2 linked regions of the Oryctolagus cuniculus genome follow. The protein of the gene in region 1 interacts with the protein of each later gene in a pairwise test. Links are inferred from orthologs where the notes say so. Each region holds a gene or a part of one and is shown in the gene's direction. Other genes may lie near its edges.

Region 1 (6,206 bases):
AAATTTATGCAAAGGGTAGACGACTGGAGTGATTTTTTTTTTCATTTTTAAAGAAATGTAAAATACTGTTGTGAGCAGTCTATGTGCTGGAGTTAGAAAAGCGAACAGAACTGTTGTCCCCTAAAGGGAAGGACAGTTTGCCACAATAATTAACAAGAAAATATAATAGATGTGTACAAAGTACATGAAGGGCAAGAAGAAGATTTTGACTGTACTGAATGACTCAACAGATTTAGATTTTCAGTACACGTGTGTTAAGCACCTTCTGGATGCTGAATAGCACGGAGTAGCATTCATACATATTCTTGAAGTAATCTTAGGTTACTATTAACCCCATTTTGGAAATGAAATGTTTGGGCATGGTCTAATTTGTCTGAATGATCCCCCACCTAACAATCCTATGGAATTTATGCTCTTCTCTTAATATTATATATATTTTATCTCTTTGGATAATATATTTTATATATTATATAAATACATATTTATCATATATTATGTAATTATATATAAGTATGCATTATATATTAATATACAATATAATATATTTTTATATTTGGATAATATATCTCTTTGGGTATATATTTTATATATATAATATATATATTTCTCTGACTTATATTAGTTATGTGAGGAGGCAACAGAGCTGAGTTCACACTTTTTTTTGCAAAGAAGTTTTAATGACTTTCATACTAGGAATGTTATACAAAGTGTGGCAGTAAACAGTTTTTGACAGGATTTGTGGTGAGTGGGGGTAAAGACTAAAGGAATAGGGGCCTGCATTGTGGCATAGCAGGTTAAGCTTCCTGTGACTCTGGCATTATGTACAAGTGCCAGTTCAAGTCCTGGCTGCTCTACTTCTGATTCAGCTCCCTGCTAATGCATCTGGGAAAGCAGCAGATGATGGCTTCAGTGCTTGGGCCTTTGTCACCCACATGGGAGACCTAGAAGGTGTTCCAGGCTCCTAGCTTCAGCCTGGCTCACTTGGCCATTCTGGCCCTTTGGGGAGTGAACCAGTGGATGGAAAGTTCTCTCTCTCTCTCTTTCTCTCTCTCCCTCTCTCTGTGTGTGTGTGTGTGTGTCTGTGTCTCTCCCTCTCTCTGACTCCGCCTTTCAAGTAAATCCTTAAAAAAAAAAAAAAAAAGACTGAAGAAATATTGGGACCATACTGCGAAGAGTATTTTGTGACATAGTTTAAGAGATTGGTTTTTTATCCTCTGGTGAGCTTCAGGGTGGGAGCCACATTCCCACTTTCTAAATGGGATAAATTTTCTACCCTTAACTTAGATTTTTAATAGTAATTAAATGAGCTCTTTCCGCCTTTTTTGTCTCTTTTTCTCATTCTTGTAAAGATTTCTTAGAGAATTTAGGCAGCCGAAAATCATGTTGGATTCAAGGATGAGTAAATGTGAATGTGTGCATTTGCAGCCTTACCCATGATTAGGTCTTACTAAAAAGTAACTACTTAGTAGTATTACTCAGAGAGGTTTGGTGGGGGGAGAGAGAAGGAAGTCAAAATCTTCTGTTTCACAATGTATTGTTTTATTTGCAGACCTCCTTGTAATTGCTTAGCAGATGAAAATTTAATGTAGCTGTTTTTTAAAACATTGGAAGTATTGCTGGTTTTTTAAATGCTACTTCCCTATGGAGGTAGTTGGACAAGGTTAGTAAGTATTGCCTATATATTATTGATATTAAAGTAGATTCTTTTTAAAACTTACATATTTTTATGTTCTTTAAGTTTTACCTATGTAAGTTTGGTAAAGGATGATTTATGTATCCTGCTACAAATTTTCTGTGTATCTGTAAATGTGTGCATTTGTGTGTGTGTGTGTCCCAATCCTGTTAGTATTATATATCTAGTGCTGTGCTACACCTTCATATTTTTCACTTATGGGTAAATCTTTGATGTCTTTTCTATTTTACTGCATATAAATCTAATTTTTAACCCCCCCCCCCATAGATGAACATAATTAATTTAATCAGTTCCTGATTCTGTTAGTCTGGGTCTGTGGTAGCAAAAAACAGAAACATTTATGCTGAGCAGAAGATTTTATTGCAAAGATTGGCTGGTTCACAGAGCTGATAGGAAGGCAGTAGAATCAGGTTTGAAAGTAGGCAAGGCCAAGCCAAATTCCTGATGTCTATTACACCCTGATTAAGAAAATGCTGGGAATATACCACTGGATTCTGCTGAACTTCCATCTCCTTTGTAGCCACAATGGATTACCTTTTGATGGTCTCTCAAGATTCCAAATTCTTGAGAGGAATGTCTGCTTGGTTCAGCCTTGGTCATGTGTCTCTGCCCTGGCTACCAGAGAGCTCAGAGAAAGGTATTCTGAAGCTCTATTGCTAGACATTATCAGTGTACATCTGTTGAGGAATACTGTTACACTGCTGTTGACATTTTTGTACATTTGTCTAAGAATTTAAATTTCTGGGTCAGCTGGTATATGCATTTTGATAGGTATTAACAAATTGCCTTCCATTAAAACTGTGGCCTTAGAATATTTTATTTTTAGCTTGATGTATAATTCATGTACTTGACTGTAACAAGCTGAACTCAACATTAGTTGTCTATATCAACTGATGCCTAGTCTATGAGAATATGGCAGTTTTTGTTACTCTTTTTTTTTTTTTTTTTTTTTTGACAGGCAGAGTGGACAGTGAGAGAGAGACAGAGAGAAAGGTCTTCCTTTTGCCGTTGGTTCACCCTCCAATGGCCGCCGCGGCCGGCGCGCTGCGGCCGGCGCACCGCGCTGATCCGATGGCAGGAGCCAGGTGCTTTTCCTGGTCTCCCATGGGGTGCAGGGCCCAAGCACCTGGGCCATCCTCCACTGCACTCCCTGGCCGCAGCAGAGAGCTGGCCTGGAAGAGGGGCAACCAGGACAGAATCCAGCGCCCCAACCGGGACTAGAACCCGGTGTGCCGGCGCCGCTAGGCGGAGGATTAGCCTAGTGAGCCGCGGCGCCAGCCTAGTTTTTGTTACTCTTAATACATTATGTTTTTGGCTTCTTTGGATTTAATCTGGCAATTACATCAGATCTTTTTGCTTATAAGCCTTTAACTTTGATACAGACTTCTATAGTAGAGATAATATATAATCAATTTATTGTTTAATAATTTATATTGTACACTGATATCCAAACACCTTCTTCCTTCTATAGAATAATGAAAAGATATCCCCTTTAAGCTATTTCAACGAAATATATTTCTGAGATGTTGCATTTCTTATTTGGAATCTTATGAAAGGTCTAGGAAAATGGTTAGATTGAAATGTGTTAAGGTACTTGATTTATCTATGTGACCCTACTGGAATGTTATTATTTGGGATAAAGTGGGCATTGTGGAAATGGCATATATTGTTTTATACCATCCTTCATTAAGCTTCTGGCCTGTCATAAATTTAGAATATCACTTAGAATATTCATTTCTTTCCCTTAGTATTGCTGCTAATACCTGGAAAGTGAGATGACATTCTTTTTAGTTAGGAAAGTGTTTTAGTCAGTTATTCATTACTGTAACAAAATATCTGAGTTATGCTAACTTTATATCGAAGAGAAATTTATTTTGGCTTATGGTTCTGGAGATGTAAGGTCCAAACAGCATGACATAGTCTGTGATGAGAGTCCTCCCCTTCCTCGCATCATAGCAGAAGGGGTGTGTGTGTGTGTCTGTGTGTCTATGTGTGTGTAATCTCTTTTTATAAAGCCACCAAGATCCAATCATGAAAGTTAAATTTAACAATGATCAATCATCTTGATGATATGTATCCTTGATATGATACAATGAAAACAACAGTCTGTGTCTTTGGTCTTCCTCACAAACACCCATAACCCCAGCCAAATAAATAAATAAGACAAATTCCAACACAGGGACATGTAACAAAATACCTGACCAGTGTACTCAAAACTGTCAAGGTCATGAAAATTGAGGGAAGTCTGAGAAACTGTCAACAGCCCAGTGATGCCTAAGGAGACATGTCAACCAGATATAATATAGTATCCTAAATAGGATCTTGAGACAGAAAAAAAAAAATCAGAACTTAAGGAGTTAAATTCATAGAGGTTTTATAAAGAGTATAGGGTGAAGAATAAACTGGCCAGCTAATTCTTCTCCACTCACCTTTATTGGTTTATTGTAGGTGCCCAGCAAATAGTTGCTGAATATATAACGTGCTTAGAGATTTTTATAGGCTTATTTTAAGGTCAATTTTATACTTCATTGGCTTATTTATCTTTTGGTCAGAGCCCAGATTTGGATTTCGTTTCTTGAATTTCATGCCACACTCCGGGTGAGCAAGATAATCACAAAAACCTGTTGGTGTTCCTTCCCGTCCCCCTCCCTAGCAATGACAGCAGTGGATATTGTGTTTTCCTCCCTGAAAAAAGACAAATCAACTGTGTTATATACCCATAGCCAGACAATTTCCTTCCTTAAAAATCAGTTTGTGAAGAGACTCTGTGTTATGGAAAGCTTCCTAGAGGATATGGCATTCAAGTTAAGACTTAAAAGATGAGTATCCGTCAGATAAGTAGACAAAAAGTCACTGAATATTGGAGAAAGAATACCAAGTAAATATGTGCAAAGGCCCACTGTATTAGAGATACTGCCAAAAGAGAACATAGACTTTCAGCTGTTTTTTGCTTTACTCATTTTCATGACTTTGATCTCATCTCAAAAGTGTTTTAGTAATAAGCGTACGTTTGTATTGTTTAAGAAAGACACAGAAACTGTAGTGGATGATTTGCATCAAGAGGGAGCAGTCAGTTTTCCACATCATCTTACTTCCTTTTTTAAAAAATTGATTCTTTAGCAGCTAGCTCCCTTAGCCATGTCAGCATGCTTGTTTATTACTTTCCAATTTCTAGGGAAAAGATTTATACTCTTAAACATACATTCGCTTGAGAATTTTCTTCAATTTATTTTTTAAAAAGAATACTTTTTAAAAGTTTTATTTATTTGAAAGTCAGAGGGCAGAGAGACTCTGAAATCTTCTCATTCACTGGTTCACTCTCCAGATACCCACAATAGCCTGGACTGGGCCAGGCTGAAGCCAGGAGGTAGGAATTAAATCTAGGTCTTCCACATGGGTGGCCAGGACCCACATCCTTGAGCTGTCATTTGTTGCCTTCCAGAGTGCACGCTAGCCGGAAACTACAATCAGAAATGGTGCTGGGACTCAGACCCAGGCAGTCTGATCTGAAATGCACATATCAAGGGACATCTTAACTGCTGTACCAAACACCAGCCTGGAACATAGTAGGGATGCGTTCAGTCAGGAATTTTTAAATTACTATCTCTTCCTTTTCTCTTCCTTTTCCTCCTAGTTTTCATTGACAAGCTTCTTAAATAAATGCTTTATATTTCCTATTTCCTTTTCTCTTACCACTCAATATATCTTGTGTTTGCATCACTTTACTGATTACATTGGGAATTATTGTAGAGGGAGTCAACAAGAATGGGAGATTAACTATATGAAAGTCTAAAGAGAAAGAGTATTGAAAGATGACTCAATTAGTGTATTATTTCCTAGGGCTATAGTAGCAAATTACCACAGACTGGTGGACTAAAACTATAGAAATTTGTTTTCTCACCATTCTGGAAACCAAAAGTCTGAAATTAGGTGTTATCAAGGCTGTGCATCTTTTGAAGGCTCCAGAGAGAATCCTTTCTTGCCTCTTCCAACTTCTCATGGCTTCAAGCATAACTTTTTTTTTTTTTTTTTTTTTTTTTGACAGGCAGAGTGGATAGTGAGAGAGAGAGACAGAGAGAAAGGTCTTCCTTTTTGCCATTGGTTCACCCTCCAGTGGCCGCCGCAGCCAGCGCGCTGCGGCTGGTGCACCGCGCTGATCCGAAGCCAGGAGACAGGTGCTTCTCCTGGTCTCCCATGGGGTGCAGGGCCCAAGCACTTGGGCCATCCTCCACTGCACTCCCAGGCCACAACAGAGAGCTGGCCTGGAAGAGGGGCAACCGGGACAGAATCCGGCGCCCCAACCGTGACTAGAACCCAGTGTGCCGGCGCCGCAAGGTGGAGGATTAGCCTATTGAGCTGCAGCGCCGGCCAGTCAAGCATAACTCTAATCTACTTTAACATGGCTTTGCCCTGTGTCCTTTTTGTTTTTGGTTTTGCTTGAGAGAGAATTCCCATCTGCTGTTGGTTCACTCTCCAAATGCCCACAATAGCCAGAGCTGGGCCAAACTAAAAA
Region 2 (6,359 bases), on another chromosome or scaffold:
CTTAAACTTAGGAAATCCAACAGGGCCATAGTTGCTTTTGACTCCATGCATATGGGACAAAGAGAGACATGCCAATAACCCTCTTCTGATTTTCTCTTTTTTTCCCTATTCTGACTTTCAAAGAAAATTCCTTATTATTTATATTTTCCAAAAACTAGAGATGTGTATTTAATATTAATACCCAGGCAACAAATCATTTTGAAAGATATTGAAATGGAATTTCAGACTTGTGGACAAAGTCAACCACAAGGGCAGCAACCACACAGCACTGCAACTTGTGGGAAAGAACAATTATGATGGCTGCAGTTTGGTCAATACAGACAGCAAAGTTTCTCTGTGAGCCTCAGATTATACTTTGACAGGCTACAAGTTTACCTCACAGACATGAGTTCCTCCATTTTGAACTTCCAGACAAAGGATACTGTTTGGAAAGAATATGCTTATAAACCCCCAGATTGCTAGAATTTCCAATCCAGGGACTTCTGCTGATTTAGGAACTGTCTCAAAAGACTTATTGGGACCTGTGCTGTGGCATAGGAGGTGGAGCCACCGCCTGCAGTTCCGGCATCCCATATGGGTTCGAGTCCTGGCTGCTCCACTTCCGATCCAGCTCTGTGCTATGGCCTGGGAAAGCAGTGGAAGATGGCCCAAGTCCTTGGGCCCCTGCACCCACGTGGGAGATCCGGAGGAAGCTCCTGGCTCCTGGCTTTGGACTGGCATAGCTATGGCCATTTGGGGAGTGAACCAGCAGATGGAAGACCTCTCTACCTCTCCCCTCTCTGTGTAACTGACTTTCAAATAAATAAATAAATCTTTTAAAAAAGACTTATTGCCTACTGATAACTCCCTCAAAATAGCACCACCAGCTCAGCAACCAGTTATGTATAGCTAATGCATGGACAGATCCTCAGCACCAATCTACATGCATTCAAAACAATTTGATTAACAGGGTCAGTCAAAAACTGTTCAAAACAAGTTACTACACCTCACCTTATTGTACTCTTTTTTCCCCTTTAAAAATTCAGTCCTTTTCACCCTTGACAGAATACTTGTTTGGTTTCTAACTGAACCTTTGTCTCCTGATTTGCCAATCTATTCTGCACTTGAATGAAACCTATCTTTGCTTCCATTTGAACCTAATCTATGATTCTTAGGCTACAAAGTCCAGGCATATTATGATTTCTTTTTTAGAAACAATATTTGTAAGGTCAAACTGTATTTTGTCCAAACCACATTGATGTTGTGCAATGAAATGGGAGGAATGCCTTTTTTATATTTTGCAATAAAAAGTTTCTCAAGAGTCTAAGATATGCCCAATCATTCAGATTTTTTTTAAAAGTATGTATTTATTTATTTGAAAGGCAGGGTGAAAGAGAGGGAGAGATGGAGAGACCTTCCATCTGCTGTTTCACTCCCCAAATGCTGGCACGGTCAAGTCTAAGCCAGGAACTCCATCCCGGTATTCTTTGTGGGTGGCAGGAACCCAAGTACTTGGACCATCATCCACTGCCTTCCAGGCATATTAAGCTGGAGCGGCTGGGACTTGAACCAGGCTCTTCCATACAGGATGCGGGTGTATCAAGCTGTGCCACAATGCCAGCCGCCATTCAACAAATATTTGGTGGATGCACACAGTTTAATAACAGGACCGACTTCAGCTTCAATGTGTTGAGAGAATTAAATAAAACAAAGACCCTTCAGAGAGCATAAAAGTTATTTTCGGAGTAAATTATTTAAGTATAACACGCATACAGAAAGTGCAGCAATCATAACCGTACAAGTCTATGAATTTGCATGTGTAAATTATTTTTTTAAAAGACTGGAAAAATGATTTTTTTTTGTTCACCAGATTCATTTGAAACAAGAGACGCAGGTATTTGAAATAGATGACATCATCTGTCAGCAGGGGAGCGAGGCAGACAGGGGGCGGGTGTAGAACGAACCTTGACATCATCACGCAGCAGCTTCTTTTCCCCGCCCACTTCGATCTCCGGAATGTCCAGTTTAACACTTCACCTAGGTGAATCGGATCTAGACTGCCAAAACAACCAAACCGCGGAACGAGGGCAGGCGGAGCTTCGCCTGGCGCCTGCGCATTGGCAGAAGTGAGGCAAAATACCCGGATTTGGGGGCGGGACACCTGGCAACGGCATTCTAGGCGCATGAGCAGAGCTGACCTCCAGCCTGGGCCAGATGGGAGGGGCTGTGGTGGGCAGAATTGTGTGGCGCCCTCTGCGCCTGCGCCCCGGCACAAGGTGGGGCAGCGGGTGCCCGCACTGTAGGGTGCGCGCAGAGGTGGGGGGCAACGGCCAGCTGTCACACTAAGGGGCAGCGGCGGGATGGCAGCAACCTCCGGGTCCTCGGACTTGGCCGGCTCTGGAGCGCCCCCGCCTGGCGGGGGAGCCCAGGCGGCAGCGGCGGCGGAGGAGGAGGAGCGAGAGGTGGTACGGGTCCGAGTCAAGGTGAGGCTAGTGGCCGGTCGGACATCCCAGGGGAGGGGAAGATGGTGGTATCCTTAGGATGGAGAGAAGAATGATGGGGGGTGGGGAGGGAGGGCTTGAAGACCCGGAGCCTTAGAGAAATATCCTGTGGCCTGGGACTGATAATGGAATGATAGGGGCCTATGGAATAGAGGGGTGGGGCTTATGAGTAGAGGGGCGGGGCTGTAGAGTTGAGGGAGGGGCCGCAGTAGTTGAGGGGTGGGGCCCTGAGCCAGGAGGAATGTGCTGTTGCCCTCTGCAAGGAGAGCTCTGAAGTCAGTCAACACGTGTGTGTTTAGAGTGCACTTTTGTGCAGGTCTCCACCCTTGATGAGCTGGCATACTTGTGGGGAGGAACGAACAGCTGGATAAATGGGAGGCTTTGGAGCCTGGTGACTGCCATGAGGAAATAATGCAAAAGGTTGTGAGCTAAGAAGTTACCTTGGCCAAGGTTGTACAGGGAAATCTCCAGAGAAGGTATTGAAGGAGCAGAGGTCAGAACACAAAGGGGTCAGCCCTGTGCATATCAGGCGGGAAAAGTGTTGCAAGCACAGAGACCAGCAAGGGCAAAGGCTAAGAGGGGCAGGGGGACTGAGCTTGGCATGTTCTGTGGGTCCCCATGTCGCTGGGGTGCAGAGAGTGAGGAGAAAGGTAGGAGGTGAATTCAGGGCATAAGGGGAGGAACGTGGCGGAGGCCTTTGGTGTATACTCTGAGGAAGAAAGCTGTTGCAATAGTTCCAGCGAGCAGCAGGGATTGCTTGGACTCCTGTGGTGGCAATGGCAGTGGCAGTGGCCAGAAAAAGGTCAACAGATCCCTTCAGCATAACAGAGCTCCAAGGCAGGGGTTTGGGGATTCAGCAAAGAGCTGATGCCTGAGCTGTGAAGGTGGTACATGAAGCAAGTGGGAAGGATGTTCCAGACAGGAGGATCAGCACGCACCAAAGGCCTGGGGCTAGGATGTGTTCAAGGTAACTTCCAACAGTCTGGAACTACGTTAATGTAAATAGAAAAACTGGAGCAAGACCAGCCAGGGCCCTTGAGGCCCTCCTGCTGCGGACCTAGGGTTGCCATCAAAGAGATTTTTTTTTTTTTAAGATTTATTCATTTATTTGAAACTCAGAGTTACAGAGAGCAGGAGAGAGCGAGCTTCCATCTGCTAGTTCACTCCCCAGATGGCCGCAATGGCCAGGGCTGGGTCAGGCCAAAGTCAGGAATCAGCAGCTTCTTCCGGGTCTCTCACGTGGGTGGCAGGTGCCCAAGCCCTTGGGCCACTTTCCACTGCCTTTTCCCAGGCACATTAGCAGGGAGCTGACTTGGAAGTGGAGAGGTCAGGACTTGAACCAGCACGTGTATGGGATGCTGGTGGCACAGGCGGCGTCTTTACCCACTACACCACAACGCCAGCCCCCATGGAAGGGATTGAAGCAGGGCAGGGTTGTAATAGATGTGCTGGATTGGTTGCAGAGTGGAGGGCTGATTTAGTAGGGGCCAGACTGCATGTGAGGATTCTGACAAGCATAATTGGGGTGGGGGGATACCGAGAAGGATCAGACACCTGGACTATTGAAAGACCCCCCTCACTTGGACCCCTCGCTTCCCTCCTCCCCCTTCCCCCAGCCCCCGCAGTCTCTTTGCAGAGCAGCCAGAAAGATCCTGTTAAATCCTAAGTCGCGCCACATCCCTCCTCGCTCAGAAGCCTCCCAAAGCTGCCCCTCACTCAGAGCCAAAAGCCAAAGTCCTCACTACAGCCCAGACGGCCCGCCTCGATCTGGCCCCCCATGTCCTTGACCTTGCTTTCTACCGCTCTGCACCTGCCACACTCTTCAGCTTGCTGAACATGGCCCTGATGGTCTTGCCCTGTCTTCTCTCTCCAGAAACACGAGAATTTCCTGGCCCCTGAGTTCCGCTCTTTCGCTGTCGACCCCCAGATCACCTCGCTGGACGTGTTACAACACATCCTCATTCGGGCCTTTGACTTGAACGGGTAAGTAGGCGGATGCCAGAGACTGGCCCCAGCAGCGAGCGTCGGCTGGCTCACTGTTTGTTCGCGTTTTGTTTGTTTTGCTATTATAAATAACGCCACAGGGAACAGCCACGTGTGCGTATCTTAGCGTATCTGGGGAAGTCTAGGGTTAGGATAAACTCCTAGCAGGGCTGTTGCTAGATTAAATGGATAGTTCCAAAGTGCTTTCCGGGCATATCTTCCCAGTTGACAACTACACCAGCAGCATATAAAATGCCTATTTCTTTCTCCCCTCACAAACAGTGATTACCAGAAAACATTGTAAAATTTGCCAACCCAATAGGGGGAAAGTGTTGTCTCTTGGGAGCAAGTGTTATGGTTATATTTTGTTATGGTGGTGGTTTTAGAGGAATACAGGCCCATGGTAACCCATTGAAACAGGACAGAATTGATGAATGTTTAGGATGTTTCCATGGTTAAGATTATTGCATAACATACCTCTTTGCACAGTTGCACAAGTATATCTGAAAAGAATTCCCTACATGTTGTTTGACTTTTTGGCATAAACTTTTGTTGTAAAAAATAAAAGTCATACAGACTGCTTTTTTAAAAAAAGTTTTTATTTATTTGAGAGGTAGAGTTACAGACAGAGAGAGGGAGAAACAGAGCAAGAAAGTTCTTCCATCCACTGGTTCCAGCTGTAATGTCCAGACCTGAGCTGATCTGAAGCCAGGAGCCAGGAGCTTCTTCCAGGTCTCCCACGTGGGTGCAGGGACCCAAGCACTTGGGCCATCCTCCACTGCTTTCCCAGGTCAGAGCAGAGAGCTGGATTGGAAGAGGAGCAGCCAGGACACAAACTGGTGCCCACAGGGGATGCTGGAGCTGCAGGTGGAGGCTTAGCCTACTATGCCACAGCACCGGTCCCCAGATTACTTTTCTTAAAAAAAAAAAAATTTTTTTAATGGGAAGGAGGAGCTAATATGATGGCTAATTTTTATCGGGAAAAAGAAGTCTTATAGCACATTTTAATTAAGTTAGTGCAGGGACTCAGCCACCGGGTGAGGCACCAGCTTATAATGGGTTCCACGTTGTAAGTTAGGTCCATAGTTAGAGCACCACTGGGTCACCTTTGTGCAGCGAGAACCAGATGATAGCACCATTGTGCTTTCGCAGATGCAGCCCACTCTTTGCTTGTTGGTGATGGAAGGAACTAAATTACGGTCTTCCTTGGTGCCTAAAGCTGCCTTTGGGGGTAGCATATTGTAGCTTTATTTATTATTATTTTTTTTTTTACATCGTAAGAAGGCCCTGTGTCCTTCAACTACCTTATTACCGTTCCCAGGAGGGAGCAGCATTCCCCAGGTTCCGGTGTGCCCTCCAGACCTCAGCAGGTGTATATCTGTTTCTGTGTTGGTGTAGCATGGGAGGTGTAAACAGCGTGAGGTCCGACGGCCCACAGTCCCTGGCACAGCGCTCGGGACACAGTTGGACGTTGTTTCAGCACCTGCAATGTTATTCCTTTTGTTTTGCAAACTGACTCCCCCTCCCTTGAGGCTTCCAGGGCACTGGGGGCCCTGAGAGCTCCCTCATACCCTCTGTCCAGGAAGAAGAACTTTGGCATCAGCTACCTGGGCCGGGACCGGCTCGGACAGGAAGCTTACCTCTCCCTGCTGTCTGATTGGGACCTCAGCACAGCCTTCGCCACTGCCTCCAAACCTTACCTGCAGTTGAGGGTAGACATTCGGCCCTCCGAGGACAGTGAGTACCCCGTGCCCTGGGGCACAGCTCTGGAACCCACCTTTTCCCCTGTAGGATGACTCCATGCGCACGATAAACTTTTTTGTGGTGGGTAGGCAGCAAGGTGTCCTCAGTGTGCATGCTGGCACGGCCATGAATCTCAGTTTCTTCACCTGTAAA

The links.
Region 2: the proteins of RAB2A (region 1) and TBC1D25 interact in binary tests that used the Homo sapiens proteins (3 or more experiments, as listed by UniProt). The link is inferred for Oryctolagus cuniculus from reciprocal best matches to the Homo sapiens genes RAB2A and TBC1D25.

What each region holds. Positions count from the first base shown.
Region 1 is NC_091437.1:85,904,407-85,910,612, forward strand, and holds the start of RAB2A (ras-related protein Rab-2A), read left to right. Parts: upstream 1-2,203; 5' UTR 2,204-2,218; coding exon 2,219-2,330; intron 2,331-6,206.
Region 2 is NC_091453.1:33,757,764-33,764,122, forward strand, and holds the start of TBC1D25 (TBC1 domain family member 25), read left to right. Parts: upstream 1-2,190; 5' UTR 2,191-2,339; coding exon 2,340-2,462; intron 2,463-4,353; coding exon 4,354-4,463; intron 4,464-6,045; coding exon 6,046-6,200; intron 6,201-6,359. UniProt on the Homo sapiens protein: Acts as a GTPase-activating protein specific for RAB33B. Involved in the regulation of autophagosome maturation, the process in which autophagosomes fuse with endosomes and lysosomes.